4 linked regions of the Saccharomyces cerevisiae S288C genome follow. The gene in region 3 interacts genetically with the main gene of each other region. Each region holds a gene or a part of one and is shown on either strand. Other genes may lie near its edges. The genes, in order: KRE1, SRO7, YUR1 and CNB1.

Region 1 (4,509 bases), on a different chromosome or scaffold from region 3:
GCGCCTTAGTGACCACCGCAAGATAGTGCCAGTAACTAGTGTACAAGTGTGGCAAAATGCAAATGAGCGTTCTGGTAGTATGTGTCCAATGTTGTAGTGTCAACTTTGTCTGCCGTTCTGGTGGCTTTTGACAGTTGATTTTCCAACGATTATTATTATGCGCGAAATTAAAGAAAAGGAATCTTGTATGATGATAAAATAAATAGATCAAATTAAATCATCAGTACAGACCAGAAAACAATTAAGTGTCCTTTTAGAAATACGAGAGGGTGGTAAAATATTGAAGAATGGTAAATTTCGATTTGGGCCAAGTTGGTGAAGTATTCCGTAGAAAGGACAAAGGAGCTATAGTGTCCGGAGACAACCCAGAAGAAGAAGAAGACGTCGATGCTTCTGAGTTTGAAGAGGATGAAGTAAAGCCTGTGCGTACAAAGAACAGAAGACCCAAAGAGGATGCATTCACTCAACAAAGATTAGCGGCTATAAACCCGGTGTTAACGCCGAGGACAGTTTTGCCTCTTTATCTGTTAATTGCTGTTGTATTTGTTATTGTAGGAGGGTGCATATTAGCACAGAACTCCAAAGTGGATGAAGTAACCATATATTACCAGGACTGTATGACTAACGCAACCTCATCATGGAGCGACATCCCTTCTGAACATTGGCAATTTGTATTTCACAAATATAAAACATATAATACTGCACCACAATGGAGGTTTGTGGATGATGAATCAGATGACTTCACAAAACAAAGAGGTACATGCCAAATCAGGTTCACTACTCCAAGTGATATGAAAAATAACGTATATTTGAATTATGTGCTGGAAAAATTTGCTGCCAATCACAGAAGATATGTACTATCTTTTAGCGAAGATCAGATACGTGGGGAGGACGCCTCTTATGAGACGGTGCATGATGCAACCGGTATAAATTGTAAGCCACTATCTAAGAACGCCGATGGTAAAATATACTATCCATGTGGCCTAATTGCGAACTCAATGTTCAACGACACGTTCCCCCTGCAGTTAACAAATGTAGGGGATACGTCTAACAACTATTCATTGACAAATAAAGGAATCAATTGGGAATCTGATAAAAAAAGGTACAAAAAAACCAAATACAATTATACACAGATAGCACCTCCACCATATTGGGAAAAGATGTATCCAGATGGATACAACGAGACGAATATTCCTGATATTCAGGATTGGGAAGAGTTCCAAAACTGGATGAGGCCAGGTGCTTTTGATAAAATTACAAAACTGATCAGAATCAATAAAAACGATACTTTGCCAGCGGGTGAATACCAGTTGGATATCGGTCTGCATTGGCCAGTATTGGAGTTTAATGGTAAGAAGGGAATCTACTTGACTCACGGTTCTCACCTTGGCGGTAGAAATCCATTTTTAGGTATAGTTTACCTGATTGGAGGCTGTATTTGTGCTGCCATGGCATTGATATTATTAACGTTTTGGCTCTTCGGCGGTAGAAAGATTGCTGATGCATCAAGTTTGTCATGGAATATGAAATAGAAAAGGAGTGATGGTTTTCTTTATTTTTAACCCTGTAAAATTTTTTTATTTTTTTATTTTTACTCTTATATATGTATATGTTTGTGTTTATTTCTGAATAAAAATTTATAAGAACCAAATTAAAACCGTTAATAGCCCACCCAAAATTGAAGTAAACGAACTCATACCTAGATGCTGGGCCTCATTATGCGAAACTGTTTTCTTTATTGCAGATTTAATAACGCCTACAGTACCGGTTAAAGTACCCATCCCAATAGACCCCACGGAGGGAGAAGCGACTGTTACGTACTGGGAGGAGAAACGCTGGACAAAAGTAGTTTGCACAGTGATAGTGTTGCCCTGTCTAACAACAGTGACCCACATGGACGTTGGCGCACGTGTGGTTGTGTAAGTGGAGGTTGTACCTTCAGTGATGGTAATGTATGAGTCAATAGATAGACTAGTGACAGCAGACACAGGAGGTTCTGTGAAGTCTGTGGAGGGGTCTGGCCTGGTGCCTGTTTCAGCTACTGCGCTCCCTGTCGATGTGGTCGTCTTTACACTGGAGGATGAACCAGACGAAGATACAGACGAGGACACAGACGAGGAGGCGGATGAAGTAGCACTGGTGCTAGAATGTGTGAACGTTTGAGTCAATGTAACTGTGGTACCCAAATCGTTTGTCGTGGTAACTGTAGATAAATACAGTCCCGAAGACAACGATGAAGTTGCGGTAGGAACAGTGGTGGTTGTCTTACCAGTAGATGAGGTAGAAGTCGTCGTGGTTGGTAGCATAGTGGCTCTGTTGACTGTCTGAGTAAGAGTGACGGTGGTTCCGACATCGTTAGTGGTAGTGAATACCGTAGTGAAGAAACCTGTTTGAGCGGTAGTTGTAGCAGCAGCAGCAGCGGTGGCAGGGTCCCATATTGTGGTCTCCGTAACCAGGGCCCCTGCGACATTTGTTACCACTGTAACCTGAGTTGTCACAGCTGCCATGACCGCAGCTGACCACAACGACAAAGAAAGTAGCAGCGTAGCGAATGAATGTAATAGCGTGCGACGCATCATTTTTTTTTTGATTGTCTTGCAGAAGTTGAAGAGGTCTTTACTGTAGCATATACAAGTGCTTAATTCTTGATTTTTATTTTCTTTTTTTCATAATACACGTTATAGAAAAAGCCCCATTCTCAGTTTATGAAAAAACGCGATATCACCATACACGCTGAGGTAGGGGGATACAAGGTGAAGAATGTACGCAATAAGGCGAAGTATATGGCACAATTGAGCAGTAAAAGTGTTAAAATATAGTGATATATATATATAAAATACGAGAGTACCAACTATTATGATCTTTTAATGCCCTCTTTCCGTTGAGATATTCATAATAGTAACCGTCACGGAACTGTCGCTTTATACGGTGAGGGGATTATTTAGTTCCTAATTTATATTAGATAAAGAAGATAATAAACATGAGGGATGCTGTAAATGAAAGTGAAATAACTGCTAGCTAGAAGAGCGGTAAGCAGCAATGGCCAAAAATAACCACATTTCTGCCAGTGGTAACAGTACCTCTGGAGACCATCGTCTTAAAGAGGAGGTTCTGACCCCAACTACATCTGCCTCGACTCCTCATAGAATATTTAGCGTGGACGATGATCCAAAGGAGATCCAAAACGATATCAGGTATCTTGAGGGTCTGCATGAAGGGTTGAAGTTCGCCCTGCATGCCAATAAATCCAAGCGATCTGTAAGCTCGCAATCACCAATCGTACATAGCAGCAACAACACGCTGCACCACCACGAGCACCAACAACACTTGCCGCCCACACTAGAGTCGCTATCCTCCAAGTCGCACTCTGTGCCAGACTTAAATACAGCTACTCCCAGCTCTCCGAAACGAATGCATTCATCTATCCGGGAATTACCTCATGATGACAATGATGACGAGGACGCCAATGATGACAGTCGGTTCATTATACACGACTCGCACGGCCATGATTTACTTATAGACGAGATCAATTGCCAGTCGCCTTCACACTTGGAAAACAATGACCAGGCGTCTAATGCTTCGTCCACAGAGTCATTCACTTTACGAGAAAGACAGGACGCCATCAACGAGACCCACCCCTTCGGTATCAGGATATGGAAGCCTGCTTTATATAAGAAACACCGTTCAGTTCAAAGAACCGCGGCGCAAGACATTCACGAGACTCAGTTGAAGACTATTACCTGGGAGGTGACTTGTTCCAATGTGCTATGGTTTATTTTGTTCGGTTTCCCCATTGCGATACTCTTCTACTCGGCGGCTATTGTGGTATTTTTACTAGGCGGCGGAGGACTGGTAACGAACTCTGCGAAGGAGTACTCCAAGTGTCTGTATAAACTCGCCAATTATTTCCTTTGGCCTTTTGGCAAAATGGTATACTTGTTGCAGGACGAGCAATATTTACAAGAAGATAAGGATGAAGGTATTAGTATGCAGCAATTCTACAATTGGGTGACTTCATACTCCAACAGGCTGGTCTTCCACCAGTCTCAGGCCAAGTTTCAGCAAAGAGAGGACCATCCGGCCCCTGCAACGGAATCTTCGTCTTTGATGCCGCCCGCTAACACAACAGCAACACCGCTTAACTCGAACCATCCATCATATAATTCTATTAGACACGAAATTCCGCACGCAGCGGCTCAAAGACGGTACTTTGGGAGAGGAAAATGGAGCTGGGGTCGTGTTCTTTTCTATACAATCTTCCATCTCGTCTTGCAACCCATCCTTGCCGTCTTATCTCTTTGCCTCTGGCTCCTGGTGTTTACCATTCCCATGAGTAATGTTCTTTGGCAAATTATGTATCATTGCAGAAGACATCCGCTTGCATTAGGCTTCAAATATGTCGAGAACTCCTCCCAATCGCACGAAAATGAAATAACCCAGCAGCAATTGAACAAAAATATCCTCTTATGTACGTTCCGTGCCGCTGGCTGGCATTACTACAAGTACACA
Region 2 (7,150 bases), on a different chromosome or scaffold from region 3:
CAAGTGTCTTTGAAAACACCTAAGGGTACGAAGGATTGGGCTGATAGTGATATGGTTATCAGAGAAGCCATTTTTAGCACTTTATCTGGCCTATTCAAGAAGCATGGTGGTGTCACTATCGACACACCTGTTTTCGAGTTAAGAGAAATTTTAGCAGGCAAGTATGGTGAGGACTCCAAACTGATCTACAACTTGGAGGACCAGGGTGGTGAATTATGTTCTTTACGTTACGATTTGACCGTTCCTTTTGCCAGGTACGTTGCCATGAACAATATTCAGAGTATCAAGAGGTATCACATTGCAAAAGTCTACAGAAGAGACCAACCAGCCATGACTAAGGGTCGTATGAGAGAATTTTACCAGTGTGATTTTGACGTTGCAGGCACATTCGAATCTATGGTTCCTGATTCCGAATGTTTGTCCATTTTAGTGGAAGGTTTGACCAGTTTGGGAATCAAAGATTTCAAAATCAAATTGAATCACAGGAAGATTCTTGATGGGATCTTCCAAATCGCTGGTGTTAAAGATGAGGATGTGAGGAAAATCTCTTCTGCTGTCGATAAGTTGGACAAATCTCCATGGGAAGCAGTCAAGAAGGAAATGACCGAAGAAAAAGGTCAATCCGAAGAAACTGCTGATAAAATCGGTGAGTATGTTAAATTAAATGGTTCTTTGAAGGAAATTCACGCTGTTCTATCCGCAGATGCCAACATTACTTCAAACGAAAAGGCTAAACAAGGTTTGGATGATATTGCTACTTTGATGAAGTATACCGAAGCATTTGACATTGACTCATTCATCTCTTTTGATCTTTCTCTTGCAAGAGGTTTGGATTACTATACAGGTTTGATCTATGAAGTTGTTACTTCTGCATCTGCTCCACCAGAGAATGCTTCAGAATTGAAGAAGAAGGCCAAATCTGCAGAAGACGCGTCAGAATTCGTTGGTGTCGGCTCTATTGCAGCCGGTGGTCGATATGATAATTTGGTCAACATGTTCTCTGAAGCTTCCGGCAAAAAATCTACTCAAATTCCATGTGTTGGTATTTCATTTGGTGTTGAAAGAATATTTTCTTTGATCAAACAAAGAATTAATTCCTCTACAACTATAAAGCCAACGGCTACACAGGTGTTCGTTATGGCTTTTGGTGGTGGTAAGGACTGGACTGGTTATTTACCCGAAAGAATGAAGGTTACTAAGCAATTATGGGATGCTGGCATTGAAGCTGAATATGTCTATAAGGCCAAGGCTAATCCTAGGAAGCAATTCGATGCTGCTGAAAAAGCGGGTTGTCACATTGCCGTAATCCTCGGTAAGGAGGAGTACTTAGAAGGTAAATTACGTGTCAAAAGATTGGGCCAAGAATTTGCCGATGATGATGGTGAATTGGTTAGTGCGGCTGACATTGTTCCTATTGTTCAAGAAAAGTTATCACAAATTCATGAAGATGGTCTAAATGAGGTCACTCGTTTAATTAAAGGATTATAAACTTGATAGCTCATGTATTTACAAACCTTCGTAAAACTAGACATGTATAATGAAAAATAAATCGATTCAAATTAATTTATAAAGCATATAGAACTAAAAAAAAATAAGTATAGAAGGAAGTTGCTCATTACCCTGTATGAATTAGTGTATGTATTTAAAAACCAAGGGCACCTTTCATTACATCTTTTCCAGTCTGCTCAACAGCCTCGTTCATTGTTTCTCCCATGGCGGTAGCATAGTCGTTGAATCTATCTTCAACGGCGTCCCATCTAGTTTCTACAGCTCGAGAAACATTTCTTAGTACCCCGTAACTACTGTTCCTGCCCTTACGGGTGGGCTTGGTATACTGGTGTTCCGGATGGTTCGCATTATTATCGTCTGAAGAACGCTCCGAGAAACTTCCCTCAGCAATGATGCTCTCTTTGTATTTGGATGCAGGTCTATTCACGCCACCCAATAATTCATTTAATTGAGCGGGAGTACAATATACAGTGCCTCTTGCCCACTGTAATGAATTTACTTGTGGCCTATAGGGAATCCTGATTCCATTGATGTACAGTGTGTCAGAAACTGGCGCTAGCGTATCCTGTTCCTTGACAGTAGAAAATAGTGACGCCTGAAATTCACTCACTCGAATCGCTATATCACCATTTCTTAAAACAGATGATTCTGTAATGTATTTTGCGGCAATTGGAAATGGAATATGTTCAGACATTTGTTCTTTGAAATCTGGAATAGTAAAAACTCTTAGATGGCCATTGATTTCTAATGTAATTATTACGGTTAGGTTCTTCCTATCATTATTTTTCTCAACGGTTGAGATGTAAGATAAACCTGTCGCGGCAAGCGGGTATTTGAAACCTTTATGTGTACTTTTAGATTTGCCCAGTGTTATTAATCTGATATCATCGAATCCAGTTATTAATACAATACCAGGAATGCAAAGGCCTTTACTTAAATTCTGCATTTTTGGAATAGTTGCCAAGCAGCTAGATTTTGTTTCCTTTGAAAATGCATCAATTTTGTGTATCGGACCCTTACTGGTAACATTAGTAATATCCATTAGTTGCACATCGAACTTTCCACCTGATGCAGGAAGAATTTTGTATGTGATTACCTCGCCCATATCAGTACCACAGACCATCAATATACTAGAGTAACCATCGTCTCCATACTCCATAATTACGAATTCGATGCAGGTAACACATGCGCTTTGAGCTCCCGAGATTTCTCTAATGTTTTCCATGTAAATGATTGCAGGACCTCTTCTATCGATCAACATAAGGCTTCCGGCAGCATATGCGATTCCAACAAATCCAATATTACTGTTGTTGATTGCAGATGTTTTCCCTTTGTTGGCATGCACGGCAGTTGATGGCATAAATCCCTGCCTAACACCGGTAGGTGCCCTGTCTCTCACATCGACGAGAACACCATTCGTATTATTCAAAGAAAACCGCCTGAAATTCATCTCCAGGTCACCGCTTTCTGGTCTGTTCTCAACACTGTAAAACTGGTTTACTTCATATTTGAATAAAACAACGTCTCCTGTTTCAATTGACACCGCCAACTCGAGAGTCTCTGCGGCAAAAGATATCTTATCAACTGCTAGTTCTTTGGCCTTGTTCAACGTTCTTGATAGATTCACTTCAAAGCTAGCATTATCTTGTATATCCCCATGGGAAGCATCGTATATCCTAACTGAGCCATTAGAATGGCCGGTAATGAATGCTGTACCGTACTCAGCGGGAAGTTTTTGCCTTTTTGTTCTAACCCCTCCCTTCAACAAATAATCCTTGTTTTGAGCTGCAGAAAGCGCACCAAGCCATAATTTGTTTGGTACAGAAGCGGCCATTGAAGTCGTGGCTAATGGTCTCAGCCAGGAAAGATTTTGAGGGAATAAAGAGGCTTTATCTGTAAATATTCCAGAAGGATATAGCATTGTTTCTATCTCACCGTTACCTAGGATTAACAAAATTAACCCCGGATTATGACATCCTGCAAAATACGGGGACTGTCTTGGAATTGGTAGTATATTCACTATTGGCACATTGGTTGGTAAGGGAAATATCTTCATTTGTTTCGGATTTGCATAGTAGTTCTTCATACCTTCATAAGAGGTTATTGAATATCTAGGTGTGTAACCGAGGTCGATCATAGTGAGACTTTGATTATCTCCTCTGCTGATTGACTTATGAGAGATGAGTAGTGAAGTATATTCTGGATTGTTTTCACACATCCAATACACTTTCGAAATTTTGGCAGCATTAGTACTAGAATCGCGTATGTAATCAGGTTGTGGAACATTGATTTCTGTCTCAAACACTGTCCTTGCCATGATCATATGGCCTGAATTAGCATCCCAGAAAACCAAGGAATTGTCTTCATGAATAGTGATAATGTGCAGTGAATTAGGGTGATATAAGGACTGAATAACTTTGGGAGTTCTCTTTTCATTGGTTTTTTCTGAGAAGTCGCCTCCTGGAGCAAAAGGTGGTAATTCGTATATGAAGGATTGTTTGATTTCGTTCTCAACCAATGAGTATGTTAGAGTTACATACTCATATGATATTAAAACAGTTCCAATATCTCTAGGGTTCCACTGAATGGATACTATAGGTGATAGTCTTGCAGCCGGAAAAAATGAGCTTTTTTGTAGGTTGTCTAATTTGAAGGAGGAAAGTTGATCCCTATCTATGTCGTAAACTATCATTGAACCATTTTGAAGGCCGATTAGCATCCAGTCTAAGGATGCATCTGTGTCAATTGATGTTATTTTCCCCGGAACAAACACTGTTGTAAGTACTTTTTGAGAATATAACGATAAAACATACACAGTATCTTTTGCGTTAATGACCACCAAATAGATACCTTTCACAAATCTCATTTCTTTTATAGCAGATCTATCCTCCAGTTTTATAACCACTTCCACTTGTTGCTGGCCATAAATATGGACTTCCCCTGTGACTGTAGCAATTGCCAATAAATTTTGGGTGAAATCGAAAGCGGCTGCGATCGGTTTACTGCTCATCCCATATTTGTTGGTTTCTGCTAGTGAAAAAATTTTATTTTTGTTATTTGAACTTATAGGAATCTTCAAAGAAGAGGAAGATTTCGCATCTTTGGAAATAGTAGATGTCTTTGAATTTTTGGATTTAAAAGACGCCTTTGAGTTCTCAATGGGTGTCTCTGAATTTTGGCCTTTTAGGGACTTAAATGCTTCCTTAACATTTTTCAGACGTTTGCTACCGAACATTTTGTTTTGCTCTTATGTGTATAGAGAATTAGTCAGAAATAGTATTGCTTGCTCTTCTTGTTTTATATTTAACATATTCCAAGATTTAAATTCTAACGTGATTAGGTTCATTTCGTTTGAATTTTCATTTTTTACTTTTAACAAAAGCGCCGAACAGGATTCTAGAAATTAAACAAAACCAACTAAACTATAAAAACGGATATTTAGTTCGGTATTGAAATGCTAAAGAATAAAGAAAAGACGACCTTTCTAAGTTATTTTTACTAAGTGTTCCATGAAAGTAAATAATAAGCCAAACTTTTACAAGAATAGCATAAAAATACATACTCATTATACATAATGCAATATTAAAACCTTTATTTTATCCGCTGTTAAGGATTAGCTTCAGCATACGGTGTTCCCCTGCACTCAGTTCTTCTGCATCGCTTAAACCTTCTTCTTCCATAATCACCGGGCCACTCCATGGTCTTTCTTCTATCTTGTCATCATTTATTATAAAATCTCTGGATAGCAACTTCTTAATATCTACATGTTCTATGAGCCCAATTAAATTTGTTACTTGCTCTTTTGCCTTTGATGAGACAGTTTGGAGTATTCTTGATGCACCGGGTAGAGTTTCCAAAACCTCAAAAAAATGCATAATTTCCTCCTTAAAAATTTGGACAGTATCAAAATCACAATGTTTACACTTTTCTAAAATAACCAATAATTTAGGTTCAGTAACCAATCTTTCAAGAGCCTTGAATTGTTCAGATTTTATAAAGATATCCAGTACATTGATTTTTAAAAGATATTTTTGGGGCGATTTAACTATATCAAAAACCTTCTTTCGGGATCTGGACAAGCTGTTTGAAGCTTGTGTTCTCTTTTTCACCAAAGTAGTCAGCTCTTTGAGCCGGTACAAGTCTTCGAGCTGATCATTGGCAAAATCTATTCTTGTTTGCACTTGTTCCTCGGTTAAGGACCCCAATGAATTATTTTCAAAACAGGCAGTTAATGGGGTACCTCCTGTAAGCTCCCTTTTCATTGACCAATATTTGCAAATATCAAATGCGCCTGCTGGTGGGTTAGCTAAGCCAAAAAAATCAACGACCTTTTGCAATATTTCAGCAAAAACATGTGGTGCTACCGGCGTTTGATTAGGTGTTTTCCAAATTGTTTTGTTGAATTTTGAATTTGTCCTATCATTAGCTTCATTATGCTGAGGAGTTTCGGTTTGTAATGTAGAGAGTAGAGAGAAGTATTTTCTAGCTTTATTAATACCTTCTATACTCGTTTGCCATCCTCTAGGTGCATGCTTGTGGCAGAAACTTTCGACTGAATACTTTTGGGAGAATTGATTAGAGGCCAATTCTTGAATAGTGCATTTCCCTTTACTCATGTAGAGACCAGCTCGACGGGCACACGTGACATGATATGCTGTAAAACAGTTTCTTTGAAAGCACTGAATGCAAGCACCCATCTTCTTTTTACAGATGTAGCAGTTAAGTTTCCATCGTGATACGCTAACATTTTGAACGCCTTCTATAGGTTCCATATAATGTAAGTTTGAAAAGTATAGCTCTGGAAGCCATAGAGCACAAATGTTATGTACCCAAGAACCGGTGTCTGTTTGTTTGAATGCACCTGTATGACTTGGACACATTAGACAAGTGGCAAAGTTATTTTTTGAGATCATACATCGTCTACATAACCATTTTCCTTCCGGGATAAAAATTATACCGTAACATTCTTGATGCACAGCAATATCGCATCCATCACAAAAGACAATTGTATTCAGATTGTCACTGTCTGTGCCTAAACAAACTGCACACGCCTGGTCCATCGATAAACCTGTTCCATCATCAGAACCATATAGCTCATAATTCTTACAGTCCCTTAGAATATTATGCCTAGCAATCAGACTATTCGTTGAGGGTATATGTTTTTCAATATGGAACCATTCAGTTTCTAGTGTAGTCATTAAAATTTCAAATATTTCGTGAGACATTTGATCTTTAAAATACCTCTTATTAAGGTAGTGCAAATATAATTCATCCTGTTCATCCATGTCATACTGAGGCTTGAAATTAACAAGATTGGGTGAAATACTAGCGAATTTCTGAATTGCACTCTTTGTACTCGTCGAAATAGTAATATTCGGGGCTTCTTTACTAGAGAATTTGGTGAAGTAGGGTGCCTCCACACCATCGAATTCTTTTTGTTGTTGTTTATAACTCTTCCTATTTCTTACTTTGTTTATATGATAGTACCTGGATATAAAGCTCTCATTAAATCTAACGCAGTATGGATTTTTCTTACCTTTTAACTCATTCGTAGTTATTTTACATTTTTGAAATTCCACTTCGTTCTTCTTCAGTACTAGTGGTTCAGTGGTGACTCTCCCCTTGAAAATCAATTCTTTAG
Region 3 (5,024 bases):
AATTGGGAAGGATGGATAGCGCCCTGCTGGTATACTTGCTGTTGTTGTTGTTGATAGCCAGAAGGATACTGGCCACTGCTATTTCCTGCCAAACTCGTATTAGAGCTGGTGTAAGCGGGATAACTATCGTACTGGAAAGGATTTGGGGCAGGTGCCCTGGCTGGAGGTACAACGAGACTAGATTTACGTCGTCTGTACGCATCTAGACTTTCGTTACTGTTTAAGTCATCGTATTGAGGGGGATACACCAGGTTTTGTTGAGAATTAGTTACTTTTTCCTCATTCCAAGGGTTAACAAAGCAAAATTGAGAATTCTGTTGTTGTTGTTGTTGCTGCTGCTGCTGCTGCTGGTGATGATTCTGATGCTGCTGCTGTGGAGACCTTTGAGAGCCTTGATTTACGTACGATGGATTCCATATACCTCTCCCCATATGGCTATTGTCTGGGCTTGCTCTACCCGAGCCCATACTAGCATCACTGTGGGTCACAAGGGTCGGGCTCAAGGAGTTATTCATGTTGCTATTGGAGCTGGACGAGTCGTTATTATTGGATGAGTTCATGATTGCTCAAATTAGCATGTGAAAAAAAGATAACGAAATTATGTTCCCTTGCACAATGGCTGTTGCTCTTCACCAAAATTCTTCTTTCGATATATTCCCAAATCTAATAGTGAGAAATTTGTGTAATACCCCCAGTAATGGCCCACCAATTGTTTCCTTATATCTGTTTAGCATTGCGACTCATTCATTGTTCAGCCCAGAAGGGGTAAATCTGAGGAGGGGGCATTGCTTGCAATGGTTCAGAAGGGGCGGTTAGGGTTAATAAAGCCATCGCGCTATTTTGATATTTTTATTAGGCCTTTTATATTTTTTTTAGTTTTTTTCTCCAAATCCTAAATCCTTTTTAGGTGTCATTTACGTGCAACGCGACAATAGTGATATTGTCATTCTTCAAACTTTTTGCAAGGTAGCTATTAAACATACCTACACACATACGTACATGCTTAACGGTGAGACAAAAGTAAAGAAAGAGACTTGAATGGGTTGCTGCATCTTAATAAGTTGAGTTTGAGGGCGAAAGTACACAAATATTCATCCGTATTGAAAATATATATATAAGAATATAGAAAAATGAATGTTTCTACATCAACCTTTCAAACAAGACGGAGAAGATTGAAGAAAGTGGAGGAAGAAGAAAATGCAGCTACTCTACAACTGGGCCAGGAATTCCAGCTGAAACAGATAAATCATCAGGGTGAAGAGGAGGAATTGATTGCCTTGAACCTAAGTGAAGCCAGGTTAGTAATCAAAGAAGCTCTTGTAGAACGTAGGAGAGCATTTAAAAGATCGCAAAAAAAACACAAGAAGAAGCATTTGAAGCACGAAAACGCCAATGATGAAACTACGGCAGTAGAGGATGAAGATGATGATCTGGATGAAGATGACGTCAACGCTGATGATGATGATTTTATGCATTCTGAAACTAGGGAGAAGGAGTTGGAGTCTATCGACGTTCTGTTAGAACAGACAACGGGAGGAAATAATAAAGATTTGAAAAATACCATGCAGTATTTAACAAATTTCTCCCGATTTAGAGACCAAGAAACCGTCGGGGCAGTTATACAGCTTCTGAAAAGCACTGGGTTACATCCTTTTGAAGTGGCGCAACTAGGTTCTTTGGCCTGTGACACAGCTGATGAAGCAAAGACTTTAATTCCAAGCTTAAACAATAAAATATCAGACGATGAGTTGGAAAGGATACTAAAGGAATTGTCAAACCTAGAAACACTCTATTAATAACTGTATGTATACGTGTGTGTAACTAGTAATGAATTTTCACCCTGTGGAAGTTAGGCCTATTTAACAGGAAAAAGGACAGGATTTTAAATCTCGTCTTGCTCTTCTTTTAAGAAATATTTGCCGCTACCGTTTTTCCACCATCTCATCAAACAACTATGTGGGGTTATATCTATGACACTTTCATCATCGCTTTTGCATCTACACCTCTGATCGAGCCTAACAGCGTAAGATGCTGGACAGGTGCCAAACGGTGAGTGAAAATAGCCAAGTTCGTCAAAATGAATGATTTCGTCAGGTCTCAGCAGTAGGGAGACACCAATTGAATGTACAGGTGCGTCACCCCACCTTTCGTAGTAAAATCCGCCCTTGGCATCTAAAGTTTCAAAAAAATGCTTATATTCGTCACTTCTGAAGAAATTCAAGTCGCCAATCTCAAAATTCGACCAAAAATGGCACAAATTGTAGTCAGAGTTTGCTTCAACAACGGGATAATGCTTACCAACTAGCCCTGAATCGGTCAAAAATGCATAGGCACTGTCCTCTTTACGTAAAATGGTCTCTTCGCTGGCCACTAAATACTCCTCTACCGCGTCCCATAAGGTTGGTATGGTTTCTTCATATTCATATAATGATATGACAAATCCGTATTTTTTGCCCTTCAATCTCATAACTCTGAACGGGTCATATGGGAAATCGCAATAATACTTGACATTGGGTTCCACCCTAAAGTAGTAATCATAGTTGTCCAGTATTGACTGCCGGAAAAAAAAACCAGAATTAAACCGACACATATTTCTATATGACTTGGATCCCCCATATAAAACACCCTCATCCTCCATGACTCGAAGTCTTTCTTCAAAAAGTGTATCGTTAATCCATTGCGGCCGATTCCAATCTTCTGGTGGTATTAAAGCATATTGGGTCTTCCCACTCGCCATTGATGTTGTAGCTTCAATGAAGTCTTGATCGAAAGGAACGTCATTTAGAAAAGTCCAATCATAATGATACTTGTTGTTAAATCTGTCCTCTAATGATCTCATTGAATCCAATGCCCCTTCTAATTCTGAATTTCTCACCAGCATTAAAATTGTTGCATTTTCTCGTAGGTGAAAAGAATCAGAATCATTCTGTCTGGTATAATTTAAAGTGTAGTCGTCGTAGCTATTGCGGGAAAGTTTTACTTTAGGAAAATAGTTTCTTCTTCGACTTGTATCATATTGTTCTTTTACTCTTTGGGAAAGAGCAGTATACGTACTGTCAATCTTTTGGTATTTTCGTATGAGGAATAACTCTTTGCCAAAAATATAGATCATAAAGGTCCATATTGGTAAGAATATGCCAACGATGTATAGCGAGCCTCCTTTTGCCATTTTAACAATTTCTGATGATAAACTTCTTTAATTTTGATAGCGACTTCCAAGCATTAGATTTGGAGATGATATGAATAAGCAGTGACAGATTATTTCTGCAGATGAAAAATAAAGAGGCGTAGTACTTTGTCTTTAACTTTCCTTTATTAAAAAAATGTATAGAAAATTTCCAAAGCGACCAGTAAAACAGCTAGTTACTCTTCACACACAAAGAAAAGAAGAAAATGAAGGGGAAAGTGGTTATGTGGCAGGTATAGCGAATAAAGAATTTAATTAAAGAATACATTTAAAGCAAATTTTCAACACAAAATATTGAAGGAATAATCAGAAAATTATTTAATTATTGTACATATTATATATTCAAATATTTATTATGAAATATCCCTAACAAAAAGACAATAAAAGGATAATCAATAATAAAAACAAATATGGGCAAAATAATATCATATAGGGGGTCAAGATAAGATAAAGGTAATATAGTTATGGATTTCTTCTCCTTAGAGATTAGTTCAACAAGGTAGCAATGTCGGATGGCAATTCTTCAATTTGAGTGGAGTAGAACTTTTCTAGTTCTCTCATAGCGCCAACGTCTTCGTTAGTAACAAAGTTGATGGCAACACCCTTTCTACCGAAACGACCACCTCTACCGATTCTGTGAATATAGTTTTCTTTGTTAGCTGGTAAGTCGTAGTTAATAACCAAAGAAACTTGTTGGACATCGATACCTCTAGCCAACAAATCAGTGGAGATCAAAATTCTGGAAGAACCACTTCTGAATTCCTTCATGATGGTGTCTCTTTCTTGTTGTGGTAAATCAGAATAGATGGCAGAAACGGTAAATTTGTCGTTTCTTAACTTAGTGGTCAATTCTTCGACCTTTCTTCTGGTGTTACAGAAGATGACAGCTTGAGTAACGGAGATAGAGTCGTATAAATCGGTCAAACACTCGTATTTGTATTCTTCTTCTTCAACATTAACGTAGAATTGTTTGATACCTTCCAAAGTCAATTCATCCTTCTTAACCAAAATTCTAACTGGGTTTCTCATAAATTTGGTGGTAACTTCCAAGACGTCATTTGGCATGGTGGCGGACAATAGAACAACTTGAGTGGTTGGTGGAAGTAAGGTGAAAATTTGGTAGATTTGTTCCTTGAAACCAGAAGACAACATTTCATCAGCTTCATCTAAGATGAACATCTTGATCTTGTCAGTTCTGAATCTACGTCTTTGGATGTTGTCAAAAACACGACCTGGAGTACCAACGACGATTTGAGCATCTCTCAAACCTTCAGCGTCTTCAACAAAGGAAGTACCACCGATACAAGCGTGGACCTTGATGTCCATGTGGAAAGCCAAAGCCATGACAACCTTTTGGATTTGCAAAGCCAATTCTCTAGTTGGAGCCAACATCAAAGCTTGAGGAGCCTTGACAGAGGTGTCAATTCTTTGCAAAGCAGCAATGGAGAAAGTACCGGTCTTACCAGTACCAGATTGAGCTTGAGCCAAGACATCGTGACCTTCAATAATAGGCATGATGGCACGTTGTTGAATGGCAGATGGTTCTTCGAAACCGTAACCGAAAACACCTCTTAACAAGTTTTCGTCCAATTCCATATCATCGAACTTGTAGACGACCTTGTCATAGTTGGTTTGAATTTGGGATTCTTCAATATCAGTAATACCTTCAGACATATTGCAATTACTATTTATTAGTTTCTTGTACACACCAGTCCTTTGTTTAGCGAACCTTTTTTTTTCCTACTATGTGTATTGGGATCTGCTGTTTCCTTCTCCTTGAGATGAGATTTCTTTTATATATGATGCTGAAAAAAAAATAAAAAAATTTCGAAAAAAA
Region 4 (4,168 bases), on a different chromosome or scaffold from region 3:
CTTGCCCGTGGTTTACTCATTCGGAACTCCATTTTTGGATTTGGCACTGGTGGTGGAGAACTTTCAGAGGGCATTCCCAGACTTATCCTCCAAAATTTGTTTGATGGCAAACGCACCCTTCTCTAAGCATTTGTCACAGCTGTACAATATTTTGAAGGGCGACCTGCACTACACAAATATCATATATTCCCAAGTGAACACCTCTGCGGTAGAAGAAAAATTCGTAACCATACTTGACACCTTTCACGTTCCCGAAGACGTAGACCAGGTGGGTGTGTTCGAAAAAAATAGCGTGCTGTTTGGTCAGCACGACAAAGCAGACAACATCTCGCCCGAGGACTATCATCTTTTCCATTTGACCACCCCACAGGATCCGAGATTACTGTATTTGTCTACTGTGTTTCAATCTGTTCATATTTTCGATCCGGCTTTACCTGGCATGGTAACGGGGCCATTTCCCTCTCTAATGAGGCGTTACAAGTACATGCATGTGGCAAGAACAGCGGGATGTATAGGTATTCTGGTCAACACGCTGTCGCTACGTAATACAAGAGAAACTATCAACGAGCTGGTCAAGCTTATCAAAACTCGTGAGAAAAAACACTATTTATTTGTTGTCGGAAAGCCAAATGTGGCCAAGCTAGCAAACTTTGAAGATATTGATATTTGGTGCATTCTCGGTTGTAGCCAAAGCGGTATCATCGTTGATCAATTCAACGAGTTTTACAAGCCCATTATTACACCTTATGAATTAAACTTGGCCTTGAGCGAAGAGGTCACATGGACCGGGAAATGGGTTGTGGACTTCAGAGACGCCATTGATGAAATCGAGCAGAATTTGGGCGGACAAGATACCATCTCTGCCAGCACAACTTCCGATGAACCGGAGTTTGATGTAGTTAGGGGAAGATATACTAGCACATCAAGACCACTGCGAGCGCTAACGCACCTGGAGTTAGAGGCGGCCGACGACGACGATTCCAAACAACTGACTACAAGACATACCGCCTCAGGTGCCGTCATTAAAGGTACTGTATCCACTTCAGCATCAGCACTGCAGAATCGTTCGTGGAAAGGTCTAGGAAGCGATTTCGACTCTACTGAGGTTGATAATACTGGAGCGGATATCGAAGAAGGTATTTCCGGTGTCGCACGTGGTTATGGATTTGATCGCGAAGACGCTATGAAAAAGGAAAACAAATGACTCTTATAATTTGTTTCCCTCGACTTCTCTATTTAAATCCAAGATTTTAACTAATAAACTATTTAATAATAAAACAATTAACTCTTTATATGGAAGCCTTGGAAATTAGCCGCCAAAATGGGATATACATTCCGTGCGAAGTGACCGCGTGGAAGGCCGGGTATCATCTTAAAAATCACTAGTTTCTTTTTTAGCGGAATGCAATAAAGGTGCTTTGTGCTGGTGTGGTTTACACGGAACATCTAGTAGCTAAAACTTGGTAACTCAATGGTGATCAGAATCCATAGAAGCATTTTTATTTCTTAAAATGGGTGCTGCTCCTTCCAAAATTGTGGATGGTCTTTTAGAAGATACAAATTGTATGTACACTTCGGAGTGAGGAAAAGAAAGAAAGGGGAAATTAACCGATTTTACTAACACTGACACTTTGAACAGTTGATAGAGATGAAATTGAAAGGTTAAGGAAGAGATTCATGAAATTAGATAGAGATAGCTCAGGGTCTATTGATAAAAATGAATTTATGAGCATTCCTGGCGTTTCGTCAAACCCTCTTGCTGGACGTATAATGGAGGTTTTCGATGCTGATAATAGTGGGGACGTGGATTTTCAAGAGTTCATCACAGGATTATCCATTTTCAGTGGGCGTGGGTCCAAGGACGAAAAGTTAAGATTCGCCTTCAAAATCTACGACATTGACAAGGACGGTTTCATATCCAATGGTGAGTTGTTCATCGTGTTGAAGATTATGGTAGGTTCTAATCTGGACGATGAACAGCTGCAACAGATAGTAGATAGGACGATAGTGGAAAACGATAGCGACGGCGACGGACGTTTAAGTTTCGAGGAGTTTAAGAATGCTATCGAAACCACAGAAGTGGCCAAGAGTCTGACATTGCAATACGATGTGTAAGACTAGGGGACACTTCATTCATTTATGGTATGCCAATATTTTTAAGAAAAGAAGAATAATACGCGATATTGTTTTTTAAGGAAGGAACGCACACTCGCCCAGTTAGAGTGCTGATGATATATACATATATATATGTATATGTAACAAACAATAAGAAAGCAATGATACAACATAGAGATGAGAGAGAGCATATATGTCAGCGACGAGATATACCAAGATGGAAGCTGATCTCATGTAATAACTGCGGGGTGTACTTTGATAATTTTTGGGATTCCATTGTTATTAATAGCTTTGATATCAGACATACAGAATACCAGAGATTTTCCTCAAAAATATGGCAATGCACAAAGGGGGATCAATAGTTATATAAATTAAGATTATTACTTCTTCTTTGTTTTATGTGTTGTTATTCACTATCCCACTGCATTATCAATCCTTACATATCAGCTTCCGTTAAACCCGATGACTATCTCTCAATCATCATACTATCTTCTTACACCGTATATGATAATTACCAGCAATACTAATGCTAGGAGACAGACCATCTTTGATTCCTATTCCAATAAAGTTAAACTGTGATATTGGTTTATTGGATAAGTTCATATCCTAAAACGTGTTGACAACACTTCGGGAGTTTCCAGTAAGTAAAATTTGTATGGAGGGTTGGCCGAGTGGTCTAAGGCGGCAGACTTAAGATCTGTTGGACGGTTGTCCGCGCGAGTTCGAACCTCGCATCCTTCAGTAATTTTTTTTTTTAATTTATTTTTGTGTTGCAAGCGTTGATCCTTTCCATTATGCAGCCATAAGAGGAGGCTGGATATGAATTATTTATTACCAATATAAGGAGCATGTACCGTTGATTTTGAAGAGCCAATTGCTCCAAATTTTGGATTTTGTGTTCGAAAAAGGGAAGATTGCTCCAAACGCAAATAAGGAGGAAACCCGCTGATTGCACTCTTGGAAAAATAAAAATAAAAAGTGGTCTCAGAATTGTTTCAAAAGTGGCACTGACACAATATTTACAGGCGTTGATAGCTTCTTGTTTTAACAATACGATTTAATCTCGGAGTAGTTAAGCCAAAGAATACGTGTTATCCGTAAGAGGCTTATTGCACGTAATCCCCAGTATAAATTATCCGCAAATCGAAGACAAATGTTTAAGAAATACAAAAATCAAGACTTGGACATGGCATTTTGGTGGAAGAAAAACCCCAAGACCCCTTCCGATTATGCCAGGTTGATCATCGAACAACTAAATAAATTCAGCTCACCCTCGCTGACTCAGGATAACAAACGAAAGGTACAAGAAGAGTGCACAAAATATCTAATTGGCACTAAACATTTTATTGTCGGTGATACGGATCCTCACCCAACTCCGGAAGCCATTGACGAGCTTTATACTGCCATGCATCGTGCCGACGTGTTCTATGAACTGCTACTTCATTTTGTGGATTTGGAATTCGAAGCAAGGAGAGAATGCATGCTTATATTCTCTATATGCCTTGGATACTCTAAGGATAATAAATTCGTCACAGTAGATTATTTAGTCTCGCAACCAAAGACCATATCTTTAATGTTGAGGACTGCGGAAGTTGCTCTACAACAAAAGGGTTGCCAAGATATCTTTTTAACGGTAGGGAATATGATTATTGAATGTATCAAATACGAACAACTTTGTAGGATTATATTAAAGGACCCTCAACTATGGAAATTCTTTGAGTTTGCGAAACTGGGTAATTTCGAAATCAGTACGGAATCTTTACAAATATTAAGTGCCGCATTTACTGCACATCCTAAATTAGTGTCTAAGGAATTCTTCAGTAATGAGATTAATATCATAAGATTCATTAAATGTATTAACAAGTTAATGGCTCATGGAAGCTACGTAACGAAAAGGCAGAGCACTAAACTGTTGGCCTCATTAATTGTGATAAGATCTAACAACGCGTTGATGAATATATATATCAACTCCCCAGAAAACTTAAAGCTCATAATGACTTTAATGACTGACAAATCTAAAAACTTACAACTTGAAGCTTTCAACGTATTCAAG

The links.
Region 1: mutations in YUR1 (region 3) and KRE1 together harm fitness more than expected from each alone (negative genetic interaction), as found in Saccharomyces cerevisiae (5 studies listed by BioGRID, with this or other methods).
Region 2: mutations in YUR1 (region 3) and SRO7 together harm fitness more than expected from each alone (negative genetic interaction), as found in Saccharomyces cerevisiae (3 studies listed by BioGRID).
Region 4: mutations in YUR1 (region 3) and CNB1 together harm fitness more than expected from each alone (negative genetic interaction), as found in Saccharomyces cerevisiae (3 studies listed by BioGRID).

The regions. Positions count from the first base shown.
Region 1 is NC_001146.8:31,657-36,165, forward strand, and holds KRE1 (Kre1p), read right to left. Parts: upstream 2,580-4,509; coding exon 1,638-2,579; downstream 1-1,637. Other genes in the region: LEM3 (Lem3p), read left to right, coding at 288-1,532; VNX1 (calcium/hydrogen antiporter), read left to right, coding at 3,040-4,509. UniProt on the Saccharomyces cerevisiae protein: Involved in a late stage of cell wall 1,6-beta-glucan synthesis and assembly.
Region 2 is NC_001148.4:631,717-638,866, reverse strand, and holds SRO7 (Rab GTPase-binding protein SRO7), read right to left. Parts: upstream 4,745-7,150; coding exon 1,643-4,744; downstream 1-1,642. Other genes in the region: HTS1 (histidine--tRNA ligase), read left to right, coding at 1-1,488; NTO1 (Nto1p), read right to left, coding at 5,106-7,150. UniProt on the Saccharomyces cerevisiae protein: Acts as an allosteric regulator of polarized exocytosis by promoting the targeted fusion of vesicles with the plasma membrane.
Region 3 is NC_001142.9:149,831-154,854, forward strand, and holds YUR1 (mannosyltransferase YUR1), read right to left. Parts: upstream 3,170-5,024; coding exon 1,883-3,169; downstream 1-1,882. Other genes in the region: serine/threonine protein kinase YAK1, read right to left, coding at 1-560; DNA-directed RNA polymerase II subunit RPB4, read left to right, coding at 1,131-1,796; TIF2 (translation initiation factor eIF4A), read right to left, coding at 3,674-4,861. UniProt on the Saccharomyces cerevisiae protein: Possible glycosyltransferase involved in N-linked glycosylation. Transfers an alpha-D-mannosyl residue from GDP-mannose into lipid-linked oligosaccharide, forming an alpha-(1->2)-D-mannosyl-D-mannose linkage.
Region 4 is NC_001143.9:81,436-85,603, forward strand, and holds CNB1 (calcineurin regulatory subunit B), read left to right. Parts: upstream 1-1,511; coding exon 1,512-1,563; intron 1,564-1,639; coding exon 1,640-2,115; downstream 2,116-4,168. Other genes in the region: DPH2 (2-(3-amino-3-carboxypropyl)histidine synthase), read left to right, coding at 1-1,204; HYM1 (Hym1p), read left to right, coding at 3,269-4,168.